Lepisosteus oculatus: one gene and its partner. The protein of the gene in region 2 purifies or fractionates together with the protein of the main gene of each other region. This does not show direct contact. Links are inferred from orthologs where the notes say so. Each region holds a gene or a part of one and is shown on either strand. Other genes may lie near its edges.

Evidence for each region. Proteins that work in one complex are often made in the same cells at the same time.
Region 1: the proteins of csk (region 2) and tns3.2 purify together in Homo sapiens (affinity purification with mass spectrometry; 4 studies listed by BioGRID and IntAct, with this or other methods). This does not show direct contact. The link is inferred for Lepisosteus oculatus from reciprocal best matches to the Homo sapiens genes CSK and TNS3.

The regions. Positions count from the first base shown.
Region 1 is NC_090701.1:4,603,380-4,610,719, forward strand, and holds the start of tns3.2 (si:ch211-191a24.3), read right to left. Parts: upstream 3,018-7,340; 5' UTR 3,001-3,017; intron 1-3,000. Other genes in the region: desmoplakin-A, read right to left, coding at 5,964-7,340. UniProt on the Homo sapiens protein: May act as a protein phosphatase and/or a lipid phosphatase. Involved in the dissociation of the integrin-tensin-actin complex. EGF activates TNS4 and down-regulates TNS3 which results in capping the tail of ITGB1.
Region 2 is NC_090700.1:56,659,508-56,667,068, reverse strand, and holds the start of csk (tyrosine-protein kinase CSK), read left to right. Parts: upstream 1-4,558; 5' UTR 4,559-4,891; intron 4,892-6,240; exon of another isoform or gene 6,241-6,412; intron 6,413-7,561. UniProt on the Homo sapiens protein: Non-receptor tyrosine-protein kinase that plays an important role in the regulation of cell growth, differentiation, migration and immune response.

The DNA.
Region 1 (7,340 bases), on a different chromosome or scaffold from region 2:
AGTGTCAGAACTATTCCTTTTTCCACTTAAAACAGTGGGTCTCTTCAAAACCCAACATCTATATTCTTTTTATCTATTTTAATGTTTTAATTGGGCTTGGTATAGTTACCGTAAAATGCAGACTTTTGGATGTTTTATTTGATTGGTATCTTTTAGCACAGATAAATAACAGTAAAAGTCATTTTTTTTTCATATTGGGTAGCAGATAGCACCCCAGGTCTGGAAGTGAACCCAGGAACCCAGTGACCACTGCAACACCACGAGGCCAGCAATCCACAGAAAGATTATAAATCAGCCCTGACCTGATGACCTCCTTAGTGAGGACACGCTTTTTTTCTCCTCTGCCAGCAATCCTACTTCTCTATACTCACAAGTATAACAGCAGTAGTAATTATGAGTAAGGTACTCTAAGGTTTGGCAACTCCATGTGGAAGCCCATCCCAGCTTCAACCAAGCTTGTCTTTTTATCTTTTTACCACATTCATACCAATCTTTCACACCTTGTCCACAACAGTTCAAAGTAAGCTATACATCAGTTTACGAACCAAATCTAAGTGACTGACTGGCCAGTGTTCCTCTTCATTAAAATAATTTGTTCCTCTCTACCTAACAATGATGCTGAAACGTTTTGTATTACAGTATGTGATACAGTCTATCAGCATAATGTAGTATGTTAAAAGTATTTTGTAGAAGAATGGTCAGTACAAGACCTGGGTTTCTAATGGAAAGATAAGAACAATGCAAAATGTCTTCCGAGTGCAAATAAATATCCAAATTACTTATTTGTATGGTAACCAAAAGATGCCTCAATCCCTTCAAATTATGCATGTTTCAAAAAATGTACTTTTCAATAAGTTTAAGGTCAATGGTATCTGACAAATTATTTTTAAATCAGAAAAAATTGTGATTCCCTTAAAGTAGCAAGTACAGTACCTCACTTTATGAGCTACTAGTGCTTTTTCCATTAACCAGGTCATTCTGCGGTTTCTTTAGTTGCACCATTGCCATCTTGTTGTCGCTGACTATTGCTGTGCTCCTCAGCCTCAATCATTTTTTGTTGCTTTAATGATTTTTGCCCCAATACTTTTATACTTTTCTCAAAGGAAGAATTTAAATTTGAGGTATTTCTCAATCCACAAATGGAAAGGATAAAAAAATACTTTCTCTGCGGTTTCTCTCATTTTTTTTGACCGCCCAAATATTTTGTGGTTGCACAGCTTGATGTTGAAGATCTGCTCTAGAAACTGACGAGATACACACCTGTCCAGCATGATGGCGATTGATTACATTGTTCTAATTCCGGGAGGCTGTACTAGAGAGGCGTGTGCGTTTTCATCTGAGAAATGACTGTGTGGCGGAACTACGGTGAACTATGAGGCTTTAGGAGTACCAGAAAGGAGGATCTGAGTGATGCACTCTCAGATTCCCTCCCATCTCCCTCCTTTCTGAACCAAGTGTTCTCCCAGTGCTGCCTGTCTGGCGACAGTAATCTCGTGGTGACAGTGCCATCCCGCTAATTTCACCCATGAACACTCAGGCTGAGGCACAAGTCTCGGTTTGTTATATTATAATGTTTAGAAGATCACATAAGGCCAATTAGCCCATCTAGGCCCATCTGTTACTTAACTGATCTCAGCTGTTTCGTCAAGGAAGCCAGGCTATTGGCTTGAACAACATGGCTGGGCAGCTTGTTCCACACTCCCACAACCCTTTGGATAAAGAAATGCCTGATATTCTTCAATTTAAAATGCACTTCCACTTATTTACCACTTACACGTTTCTGGAACATGGTTCATTTTTTACAGTTCGTTTTGAAGAAATCAGCTGAATTGATTTTGTCACTGCAGGAGGTCCTTTTTTGTCGGAGGATTGCAAATAACTTGTATGAGATCCCCTCATAGTCTTCTCTGTCCAAGACTAAAAAGGTTTAGTTCCTTCAGGCTTTCAGTGTAGGACGTTTGCTCAACCCTGAAATGTATCTGTTCCTCCAGACTCATTCCAGAGTCTGTACGTCATTCCATAATATGGTGCCAGAATTATACACAAAATTCTTAATGAGGCCTTTCTAGTGCATTAAACAATTTTAATATACCATCCCTTCATCTAAATTATATGCTTTTAAACTGTGCATCCTAACATTTTGTTTGCATTTTTAATTGCTCGTGTGGAACATGTAAACGATGTGTCAACATAAACACCCAAGTCTTTTTCATAAGCAAGGCCTTCATCAGTTTCAGGTTTGTCGACCTTGAAGCGCCACCAGATATAAGAGGAATAGACATTATAAACTTTATGTAAAGATATAACCCATTCCTAAGTGATTTATAACAGCAGCTTTTGTTAGATAGTAACTGCCATTATTTCAATTACTAAATGTAAATGAGAATGCATTAGTTTACTTGTACAACTACACATGTAAACAGACAATATTAATCATAGCTTATTGGGTGTATGACATGTATAGAATTTGGGTTATAAACAAGGACGTATGACAGGGAAGCTAACAGAATGTCTCCAGTTAAAACTCCAATCTGCACTTGCTTCAGAAACCATTCTATCTCAGTTATCAAATTAATAATTCCCAAATATACTAAAGATCCTAAGGTTACATCCACAATAAAAGTATAACTATACATAACACGTATTGATGCATATTAGGGAGTGTCCGTTGTAAACAAACATCTTATTGCAGGCCTTAAACTTAAAATATTATACAAGCAAATCAAACTAAAAATGAAAACAGCCATCTTAAATGGGATAAGCGGCCCACGGCGTGTAACCAGGCAGTCAAAAAGCTTAAAAGACAGAGTCTTTCAGGAGACTGTACGAGCTTTTTTATGCATTCGCGTCTGTTTTCGTGCTAAAATACACCGGCTGTAATCACGTTTACGTTATAAACCAATTCCCTTCATTTACTGAAATATTTAAAAACCTTTACCTACCTTTTGGACATGAGCTTATGCGCGTTGCATGCTAACAATAATAATTACTGACACGTACCTGAATGAAAAACATAAACGCGTAAGTCGCCGATTTAGATTCTATATACGTTGGGGTTTCATGTTGATGCTAGCCAGAAAAAAACTTGAAACAAAATATATACACACGAACAATGCTTAATGCGCGTGTTGCGGCACGTCTCGATATTATCTACGAAGACGTCACCTGTCAAACAACAACATGAAGTTTAACAATCTCCACTTTTTATCTCTTTTTACAGTGCCAATCCAAGATAGGTCTTAAATGTGCGTTCTGCAGTCTTATGTGAGCATCAGCTACTGTACCAAGCAACAGTCAGCAGTGTACAGAGATATGCATACTTAAGTTAAAGTTTAACTTAATCTGAACCGGTTGTAATAATCAAAAATACGCACAATACCGTGCGTGGAGGTCAGCATTAGAATTACCATTGTTACTTCTCATTTGTCTGTTAACAATGCGCATAATAATTTTTTAAAGAAGTGGGTACAATTTAAAGAAAACAGGTTTTTGTAAATTAACTGTGCATCAAAAAACGCAAAATGAAAGATTGTTTATGCCTGTTTCACTCGGGAACGGACCACACACCTGGCATGAGAACTGGGTGAGATTTTCTGATAGTCCGCACCTCTCTCATGAATAGAAAAAAAAATCAAATTTCGCCGCATTAGAAGGCATACTTTCCTAACAAGGTCTGGCTCTTTAAAGAGTCGTGTATGGGTTGCCTCTGATATGAGTGCTTTGAATTTCGCTGCAAATATCAAATGTTTCGGACCAGAAACTTTCCGTCAGATTCGACTTGTTTCTCACTGGCTGGTCCGTCAGAGGCAGCCGAAGCTTGTGAGATTTCATTTAAGGAATAACTTCTTATTCATATTTAATGGATGTGGGCGGAGTCCACAATTTTTCGCAAGAGATGACTCGCCCTTAATGCCGAAAAGGGTCCCGGTGCACTACAGGGAGTCAGTTCACCTTCCGCGGAGTCGATCGGCGGTTCCATCCTGGAGAGCAGCATGAAGTGCAAGGCTATTATTCCTCAGTAGGTGGCACAGCTCATAGGCTGACACCCTCTAAGAGTATCATCATTATTAGTAACAGATAAGTCATTAGTAACTACTGAGGAGTAACAGTATCTTTAGTAATTGAGAGAGAGTAATACTGTATTGCCATTACAATATTGCTTTTGGTATGATTGCGCATCCATTATTGGCCTCTCTGACTCTCGAGGCATTTAATAATAAATTCTTACTTTTCTGGACTCTCCACTCAAAGTGCTTTACAGGTAATGGGGACTCCCCTCCGCCACCACCACCAGTGTGCAGCCCCACCTGGAGGATGGGATGGCAGCCAGCCATAGTGGACACGGTCCATTTCAGCACACACCAGCTCTCACGGGGGAGGAGAGCAGAGTGATGAAGCCAGTTCATCGATGGGGATTAATAGGAGGCCATGACTGGTAAAGGCCAGGGGGTGATTTGGCTGTTAGTGGGGTCATAGCCCTCGCATGTGAGAAACATTTGCACTGTAACAGGGGCTCATAAGTGCAGTTCATTCACATGCTATTCCTCTTATCCTAGTTACCAGCTCCAGTCGCTCCCTCTTGGCTGGTCCCATCTGTAGGAAAGCACTCATGAGCCCCAAATATAGTTTGCAGCAGCTAAATGTCGGGACTCGCCGCCCCATCGTTTGGCTATGTTATCAGATGTATTATGTTTTCCTCCTCACGGTATTTTATAAATCACGTTTTCAGGCTTTAAAACATTCCGATCGAATTAACTCAAAGAAACGCCACCACAGCAACAAGAGTGTTTCCCAACACGCGAGGTACAATGGTTGAATGAAGGACAGGTCTGCAGTGCGGACACAGTTCAGGGCAGCGCTGAAGCAGATGTCCACCTAGAGAGCATGTCTGCTTGCAGCTTCACTTCATGTGTGAATATATACGCAAATAATAACACTGAAAACACTGAACAGTTATTCTATAAAAAGGTTTATTACCAAGCGCACATTGAAAGATATTAGTCATGTTTATTTGTGCAGCATTTCATTCTTTGGAGGGGGGTTTGCATACAGATCACAGTGGAAAACGTCAAGAGTACAAAGATGTTTTTCAAAACCTGATTCCGTCTCCATAATGGAGGGAAAAAATTAAAGTTGAGTACAGATGGTTATTTGCTTCGCCGTTTCGTGAATGCATTTGTGCATTTTACAAAATGAAAAAAAAAACTAATACAAAAGGAACTGGTCACAGGACTGCTGTTTCTAGGCAGTAACAGAATACACTGAAAAATCTCACCTCTATGCAGCTTCGTGCCTGTCTCATTACGGCCGAATTCAACTTACGCATCATGAATGCATTGGTAAGCAATGAATTGCAAAATTAATATTGGGATGTAATGCTCACAATTCCTAAAGTACAGCTGAAGAACACTTAAAAGAGAGCCTAAAATCTAGAGCCACAGCATGGTGGTGCAAGCCCTTTCAGATTCCACAGTGCAAACGATAATTTTATATCTGCTACCTTATTGTGATTAAAACGGCTAAGACGAACACGCACAGTTGAGCCACTTTAGGTTGCAGACCCTGGACATTTCTGTGGAACAGGGGTATCATTTTCAAAAATTCATTATTGGCTTTTCTACGAAGAAGAAACTTAAGGAATTAGTGAGGACATTGTGAAGAGAAGAATAAAAAATCCACACAGTTCATAAAGAAAATCAGATATTTTTAGTACATGACCGAGTAAAACCAAAAAAAAAAAATCTGTCAGAACATATACCAGGCAGATGAAAAATAAGGAAACAAAACTAGCTGCAAAAAATAATCCCTTGCCCTGTATAACTAAGTATTGTAGCTAAATACCAAACAGCTGCTAAATGCCTAATATTGTGTATATCTATTCCACAGCCACTCCCCTTTAAAACTTGAACTTGGTCTCCTCTACGTTTTGAGAAACGTAACAAATCTCAGATCCCCCCATTGTATTATGAGAGAGAGCTGGAGCTAAAAGTGGAGGAGGTGTAGTTGAAAGTAAAGTTTGAAGACATATCTACGCTGCCTCGTCTTGAGCCGCTCCTGGACCCGGAGCGGGACCCCGGCGCAGATGAAACGTTGTAGGGGCTGCTGATTCCTTCAGAGGACATGGAGGACGCTTGCAGCAATTTCATCCCGGTGTTTTCCTCCACCATGCAATTTTCCATGGCCTCCTTGTATGAAATCTTTAGCTTGGTTTTAGGACACGTCAAACTCTTGGCATAGCGCTTGGCATCTTGGAGTTTCTGAGCTCCTCTTCCATCCAGCCAGCCTTTTCTGATGGCTTCTTCAATACTTCTCCTTTGAGTGGTACCGGGTTCCATCAGGCCTCCTGTGACATACTGATACTCAAGGAACCTCTGCCCAGCTTCATACGGTAACCACTTCTCCTTAATTGCTTGCGCCGCCGACATCTGACGCTTGGTTTTCACATCTTCAAAGCCTACAAATGCTTTATAAGCTGGCTTCAGCCTCACAGCCATGTCCTGGTCAATGATGCCCTGTCTTACCGCATCATCCAACGTGAGCCGAAGACCATTTGAGGGATTTATGATGCCTCCAGTACAGGCCTGAGCCTCCAACAGCCGCTGCCCCGTGATAGAGTCCACAAGCCCCCGTCGTACCGCTTCGGTTATGGTTATTTTTTCGATGGTTTCGGTGTCAAATATAGCTGCGATCGGACTTTGATCTTCTAACAGATCGGAGGGGGGCGAAAGACTTATCGAGACGCCAGACCAAAGTTTTCTTGGGGTAGCTGGTGACCCAGGTTTAAGTAATGTGGGGCTCCTGCTGGTAAATTCAAGACTAGAAGAACTGACCAAGACTTCCCCGGTGCTCTTGGTGGTCAACATGTCTGCAAACTGCGTAAGGGTCAGGGACCCCGAGCGATATTTCTCCAATGCCGATTTGTCAATGACACCCTTATCTACAGAATCCTGAATGTCGTACTGCTGGCCGGTTTTCCGATCAACAATTACTACTCTTGACGTGCCGTCGGATGAAGTGATAGTTATCTCTTCCCACTCGCATTCCTGCTCGGAGAGCTCCAAGAATGTGTCATAGTCAATCAGGTTCCGGTGAAAAGCTTCACGTACTGTCATTTCCTTGTCAGTGTCAGGATCAACAATCACCACTCTGCGCTTGCGCAGGGTGTTCTTCTGAGTCAACTGCTGTTGTTTCTTCTTATCTCTCAGTGGAAGTAGGGTGAGACCAGTCTGTTTATCCTTAATGCACCGGTCTTTAAGCTGCAGATATGTTAGATTTTCTTCAGTGTTTGGGTCAAAGAAACCTTTGGTGTCATCCCCTTCATAAGACAAGATATCGTTCAT
Region 2 (7,561 bases):
TAAAAGTTACCAATGGGCTTGTGGCAATTGGACATTTAAATCTGCATCAGACTGGTGGTGAGTCTTTACCTCAGAACAGAAAAGGAATTGTGGAAGCTTGTGAGACAGCAGTTTATTGTCTTAGTAGCAGGACCTCCTTCCTGTTTTGGGAGACCCACTAGAAGTTGTCCTTTCTCTCAGTGTTGAGGGGAAATGTCAGATTGATCCACAGTGGTGAGGAGGCAGGAGTATGTCCATCTCTGCTGCATGCTGTTGTTATTGTGGTCTTGAGGAAAATCAAGAGCACTAGGTAACTAATGCATTATTTAATCATTTTCAATGGAAACCTCAATTATTTTTCACCAAATGTGGAGGAAAAAAAAGTCGAGAATATCTCGGTGTACTAAGTAGTGCAAAATAGTGTACCTGCCTGTCTGCACTATTAAGCATGTGAACTGTATCAAGTTTCAGATGTTCTTAGGTCACTTTTTTATTTTTACTTGTACTGCATCATAAACTTGGGTTTAAACGCACAGATGTTTTAACTTCTCAGAATGATAAATCTGTAGTGGGAGATGGTGTAGTTTTTTTTATCTCATCACTGTTGGAATGTGTTCCTGTGTATATTGTATTTCCTTTTTGTTGTGTATATATGCAGTGTGCCCAGGAATTTATACAGTAGGTGTGTACACTTGAGGTAGGTGGCGTCAGTGACAAACACAAGTCTGACACACCCCGGCGCTGTGCACTTCAGCCTCTCCTCCACACTGCACTAAGAGCAAGGCAACTCCTGGGTCCCCTGGGTCTGTTTTCCTCATGTTACTGTATAACGAAAACTTGTATTTAGCTTATATGATGGATAATGAAAATGTAACCTCCCACTGTGGAGGTATTGATTTGGGTCCAGGGCTTGCAATACCAAGATTGTGGGCTCAAATTGCTACTGGGAGACTGTCCTTGTTCCCTTGATCTCGTATTTCTCTCGTGGTTGCTCTACAAGCGACATTTTGTTCTGAAATGATGTCTGGTTAAACGATTATTGTTATTATCCTCTATGTGCTCGCTCTGCAGAGCACAGGGGTTTCTGCAGTACCAGCAGCCCCTTCTGCGTAGTCCACATTGCCGCTGGGTTTGGAGGCAGGGAAATCACAGGCTGTTAGAAGTTATAATTATCAAAAGCATGGGAAAACTTTAATATCTCGATTCGTTTTTTGTTACAATGGCAATTTGTAGTATGTTGAAAAAAGAATCACATCTGTCTAGCTGTGCCGATAATAATTCTGAATAATTTTAAGTTTAAATGTGGTCCTGCCTAAAATGACATCTTGCTGAAAATAAGTTACATTACAAAATCTATCCACCAGATGGCTCCAAAAATTCACAACACCTGTGTCGATTTAGCTGCATTTCCTTTCCTGCCATTGAGGCCCATAGTGACCTCATTGGTGAGCTGGACAGCGGACTCTTCTGAAACCTCAGGCAGCATCTGTGGGGTTGATGTCTCTGTAGTGATGGTAAAATAGGTTGTCTGAAGCAGAATTTCGATTTTTGCAAAGGACGGGATGGGTGACTGTCCCACTGACCTTGACAGTCAGTCTGTTTGAGAAGTCATTGTATAACACTTCTGCATCGTTGTGAACAATAAAGAACATTAAAGCATTGCAAAAATATAGAAGTCTTATGTTTTTTTTTTATTAAGTATTCTTTTGGATTTTGTTTAGTAGTTTTGTTCAGCATCCATAGATGAAAAGGTGAGAGAAGGTAAGTGAAGTTGATGCATGCTTTTGTAGGTGGTACTTGATAAATTCCCATTGAACATTAAATGATTGCACATGGGAAGCAGAGGAGCAGACATTCAGTTTTTAAACTGATGTTTCTTCTGGTGTCTTTTAGTGTTCTATTTTTTAAGACAGAATTACTCCATCATTTGTTTATTCTTTAGTAGGTCCAGATTGACCTACTGGTATTGCCAGTGATGTTGAGCTTGAAGAAAATCAGATCCGAAATAAGCTGATTTAGCCATCTCAATTGTAAACTGTGCTATATTATTTTAATTTGTATTGCTAATGGACAGATAAAGCATGTGCCACTTTAACCCCTCTTGGAGCGGAGCAGTGGCTCTGTGGCTCAGGATCTGCGCCTGTGGCTGGAAGGTTGCCAGTTCATATCTCGTGGCCAGCAGAGGAATCCTACTCCGATGGGCCTTAACCCCAACTGCTCCAGGGGCACCGTATAAATGGCTGACCCTGCGCTCTGACCCCCAGCTTCTGTCTGTGAGTCTCCTGGAGAGCAAGTTGGGGTCTGCGAAAGACAAATTCCTAATACAAGAAATTGTATATGGCTAATTAAGTCATCTTATCTGTATTAATACCATTGGCTGAACTACAGCTGTTTGCCTTTCCATTGTAGGATTGAACTGCAGATCAGATTACAGGCTCGAGGAATATGTACAGCAGGCTGCAATCTAATGATCACTTTTCTCACTCCCATAATTTAATCTGGTTCAATTTGTGGTGCAGATGAAGTCAAAAGCACAGTTGCCGAAAGTCCCAGGAAATGTCAAAAATGTGCAAATTATTGGTTGTCTAATATGTCAATGTATAATATATTGTCCAATATAATTTTACATCCCAAACAGACACCTTCAGTTTAAAATAATGAGAAGAAAGGAATATAAGATTGGTTCCAGACGAGGAAGAAAGCTAATTGATTAGAGGATCTCATCCAGCCAGGTCTTGAAAGAAACCAGGTTAACATCTTCATCTTGAGAGATGCCAGCAAACAACCACCCATCTTCAGAGGACGGGAGGGCATATGGAAGCTCCACATAGGACCTGACATGTGAAAGCAAACCTCGATCCCAGCAACAGCAATGACCAGCATAGGCTTGAGCTGAGCTGATTGGACCACCTGTAGCACTCTGAGCCAGCAGGGGGAAGAGCACCACTACCACTTCATTAGTTTTACCTTTACTAATTGCAATTTAGCCAATCTTAAAAAGAAAACAAGTGTCCCATGCTATGACAATATTGCAACTGTAAATAAGAAAATAATTCAAATGGTTTTTCTTTTGCACACGCAAAGAAGAAATTGGGAAATTGTGGTGTTTTGAGAAAGGTTGGGGTGAGATTAATCAATTTATGGTCTCTTAACTGTGCTGATATAGTTACCATATATGGACAACTTTATTTGCACATGGCTGATCCCAGCCTCTGTCTGAGGAAGCAGCAGATAATCTGTCCTTCAGTCCTCTCCAGTGTTGATAACACTTCATAAACAGAGGCTACAACAGCTCAGTCACAAGAAGAAATTGCACCACCCATTTTAAAGTCCTGGTTAGACTGTGGTTATCTATTCTTTAGCTGCCTTCAATCTTGACTTACACCCCTGTCATTTAGACTAACAGAATATTGTCTTCCTAAACCATCAAGAGGCTCCTGGGGTGCCATGGTGACATCCTCTCCTTGATTCAGTACGTGGAGTGCTGGCTTCACATCTGTGCTCACCAGTGGACAGGAGCATCTGCTCCTTATTTCCCGCAATACAGCTGCACCTGATCTGTGGGATCAGGCTGCCAGCACCTCCTGCTGGGTGTTGTGGTGCAAGCCTGTTCAGGGCAGGGCAGTGTTCATGGACACAGAGGCAGTAATAATTCCTTACACTTATTTCACATTTTTCTGGACACTCTCCTCCACCACCACCAGTGTGCAGCCCCACCTGGATGATATGATGGCAGCCATAGTGTGCCAATACACTCCCCACACACCAGCTCTCAGTGGGGAGGAGAGCAGAGTGATGAAACCAATTCAGAGATGGGGGTTATTAGGAGGCCATGATTGGTAAATGGGCTAGGGGAACTTTGGCCAGGACGCCAGGGTTACACCCCTACTCTTTTCGTGAAATGCCCTGGGATTTTTAATGACCGAAGAGAGTCAGGACCTCAGTTTTACATCTCATCCAAAGGACACCACCTTTTTACAACATAGTGCCCCCGTCACTAAATCGGGGCATTAGGATCCACACAGACACAGACACAGGGTGAGCGCCCCCTGCTGGCCCCACTAACACCACTTCCAGCAGCAACCTTAGTTTTTCCCAGGAGTCTCCTATCCAGGTACTGGCCAGGCTCACACCTGCTGAGCTCCAGTGGGCTGCCAGTTGTGCATCATGAAGCTAAAGGTGACCTCCCCTGACCGCAGAAAAGTTAATTTAGGACTAAAATAGTGCTGCTTCACAGAGAACTGTCTGATACAACCTCCCTGCTCTGGAATCAGTGCAGGGAAGTGCAACCAGATACTTTCTGGGGCTTCAGGTAGCATCCTTCAGAGAAGTGCAATACGAAATGTAAACTCGGACGTTATTCCATAATTATAGTTACATATAGTTAAATATAATTACAATAAAGCATATGGATGAAATAAGGTAACGCGGACGGTCCCAATTTCTACTCTCAGACCTACTCTCTCTGACCGGCAGAGGGCACCACCTGTCAGAGTGTTGACGTGCGCGTTCCCTTCGCCGGACCCCCCCTCTCCCCGAGCGCGCTCCCGACGGGCAGTGGTGTGGCTGGCGAGGTGCGCACGCGCAGACGAGCCGTCTGAATGAGGGACCATTTCCTCTTGGAGGCCTGTGTGTTTTGCAGCGACTGAAGGCCAGTTCCTCGGCTGTGTTTTCAATTTGGACGGGCAAAGACGGGATAACCCCAGGATCCACCGGAGCCTGCTGCGACCGTTGCCGTGAGCAGAAGCGAGCTTGAGCAGGCGAGACGAGCGGCGCTCCCGGCGGTGTCGCCGCTTCCTTCAGCGCTCGGCTCGGCTCGGCTCGGCGCTCCCGGAGTGGCCCGGAGCTGCATGAGAGGAAACACTCCTTCGCCTTTGTGTCTGCACCGCACGGGCTGCCTTCCTGGACCGAGGTACGAGCAGCGCTGCTCTTTGTCGTTGCGAGCCCGCAGGCGCAGCAGCTGGAGAGGGGGGCACGGGCACGGGTGCGAGTCGGCGGCTGGTCCTGCGGGCTCCTTACCGCACCTCGGGGTGTGCTCTCCTCTCGGACAGTCTGCGGTGTAACTGCAGACTTGTCTTGAGAGGGACGCGTTTCCCGTGTGTGTTTCAGTGGGCGATCGCTGCGCTCTGCTGGCTGTGGTCTGCCAGGCGTGGTTGGGGCAGGGGTACGGGGGTCTCTGGCTGGCCGGGCGGGTGTCCGAGCTGCCCGCCAGCCCAGCTGACGTTTCTGCTCTCTGGTGCAAAGCAGGCAGAAGTGTCAGACCGGCGGGAGGGCGCAGGAGACGGGCCGGTCTGGCCTTGCGGACTGACCAGCGTCCGCCTGAGTGACCGTCTCTGCCCTGATGAGCCCCGGAGCCTGGCCGAGGAGCTGCAGTGTTTGTCAGTGGAGACGGACACTGGACGTGCCGCTTGTATACAGTATTTCAAACCTTGACTTCGCGCACGGCGAGGTGCTGATTTGCAGTCCTGTGTGCATGCAGGGTTAGGGGCTTGTATCTGTGTTGTATCTCGAAATACAGTACTTTTAACAGCTGTCAACGGCCCTCTTTTGTGCTACAAAGAAAATGTCAACCTTTCGGTATTCTAGCTACCCGGAGATGCAGTTTTCGTGCTGTAGTTGTTACCCAACTCGCCGTTGGGACCTCTGTAGGGAGATCCGGGAGCTTTTTGGAGATGAACTAGCTGTCCAGCTCACGGTTTCGAGTTCACATTCGTCGCTTTGGCCACACGGGTACTAAATGCATGTGTCCACCTGGATGGGCTGGTACTGTAGTCGGGTTTCAGCGAAGGCGAGGGGCGCTTGAGTGACAGTCGAGCCGCCTGACTCCGGGCTGCCGAAGCGCGCTGATCGCGCTCATCAAGTACGCTCGCTGTTACTGTGGACAACACTGCCACGGCCCACTGTTTCAAATGTCACGTTTCACATGAGCCCGGCTGGCCTGCGTGTGATAGCGTTTAGCTCCATCAGTTGTTTTTTTTATTAAGCCAGGTGACTGACAAACGCGTATTTTAGTGTGAATGTGAACAGCGTCGTACTGTATAATTGCATTGGACTGTAGAGTTTAAGGGAGAATTCAAATATCAGCCACTGCAGTAATAGACATCATAAAGACTTAGAACATAGTGGAAATGTGATCCAAATAGTAAACCACAATTCGGAAAGGGCTAACACGGAGCATGCAGACTTGCTGTTTGTCCGGAGATAGTAAGGGGCTCGGCCGGCAGGCAGTGTCTCTGAGGTTGTTTCAGGGGGATCCCCTGTGAAGCTCCTTCCCAACGGGTTTTGTCAGTAGGACATTGAACACAACTGTAAGACGGCTGGGCTTCGTCTACCTCATCTGTCCTCCTTGCTCTGGGACTGTATGCGAGTCTCGTCTGGGTGACCCAAAGTCAGAACTTGTTAGAAGACTTTCCTGCGGTGGTTCAGCACACAGGTGAGTTTGCTGTCCCGTGCTGTTGTGCTCGGCTGTGAGCATGAGGGATGTATCGTGCTACATTGCAGGATCACCGTTGTGACGGCAAATCAGAATTACGGTGCAGTAAAAAGGTTTCCTCCTCTGAGTATAATGTTAATCAAACCTAAATGCTTAAACCTGTCAGTTTATATGTGAGTGGTCTCCTTAAATACTTGCTTTCTTAAAGAAACATCGCTGTATATATAAAGTTAGTACAGCGTGCCACGTTTTTGTGTAGTAAAACATTTTTATCATAGTTTTCTGGTTCATTACAGTCCTTCTATTCTGATGACTGATTTAGAGATAGATGCACATTTTGTTTTCTTAGTAAGTCTGAAATAAAATAGGACTTACCTACGCTAAGACATCAGAGTAATTTAGCATTTCCGTTATCTGTTCAGCTTGAATCTTTAGGCCCGTTCATGAACTCAGCTCGTTGCAGGAGGACAGTGAGCAGTTTGTACAGCTGGTTAAGTTCTGTTCGAGTTGTGGCGAGCGTGTTTGCAGCTTTGGTCAGGCTGATCTGTGGCTTGAGTTTGCAAGAGTGGTGTGGCAGTGAGAGTGGTGTCCGGATTAATAAGAGGCAATGGCGAGGAGGGTCTGTGCGCGTGCCTGAAAGTTATGGAGAGATTGGGAATTGCTTCCAACTCAGAGACCTCCTTTCTTCATGCATTTGGTCATTTCTACTCTTCTCCTGTAGTCCTGCATGTTGAGTGTGGAAAAAGTTGCAGCAGGATTGTTTTTACCAAAAATGATTCAATCTTGTTCTCACCCGATGCATTTTTCCTGTTCAGATGTATTTCTAGTTTCTGTTTGGGCCCTGTTGGGTTAGGGTTATAGACCACTCCAGGTCCACCTGGAATAGCATGCTCTCTCCAGCCATTCCCCCCTGTCCCGTCTCCCAGCCCGGGATCGTGAGTGCTGCTCTGACAGGGTCCTGTGTGTGGAGAGTGGCCATGGAGACAGGGTGGGCTCGACTGGACGGGGGCACGGGGCACATTCAGTTGGGGAGCGTGCATCGAAGTTGCTAGAACATCAGTTTCCCGTCTTTGCATTGTTGTAGTTTTTCTTTGATTTAAATTTCCTTACACTATCGTTTGGAATTCATAGAAATGACAGATGTGAAGA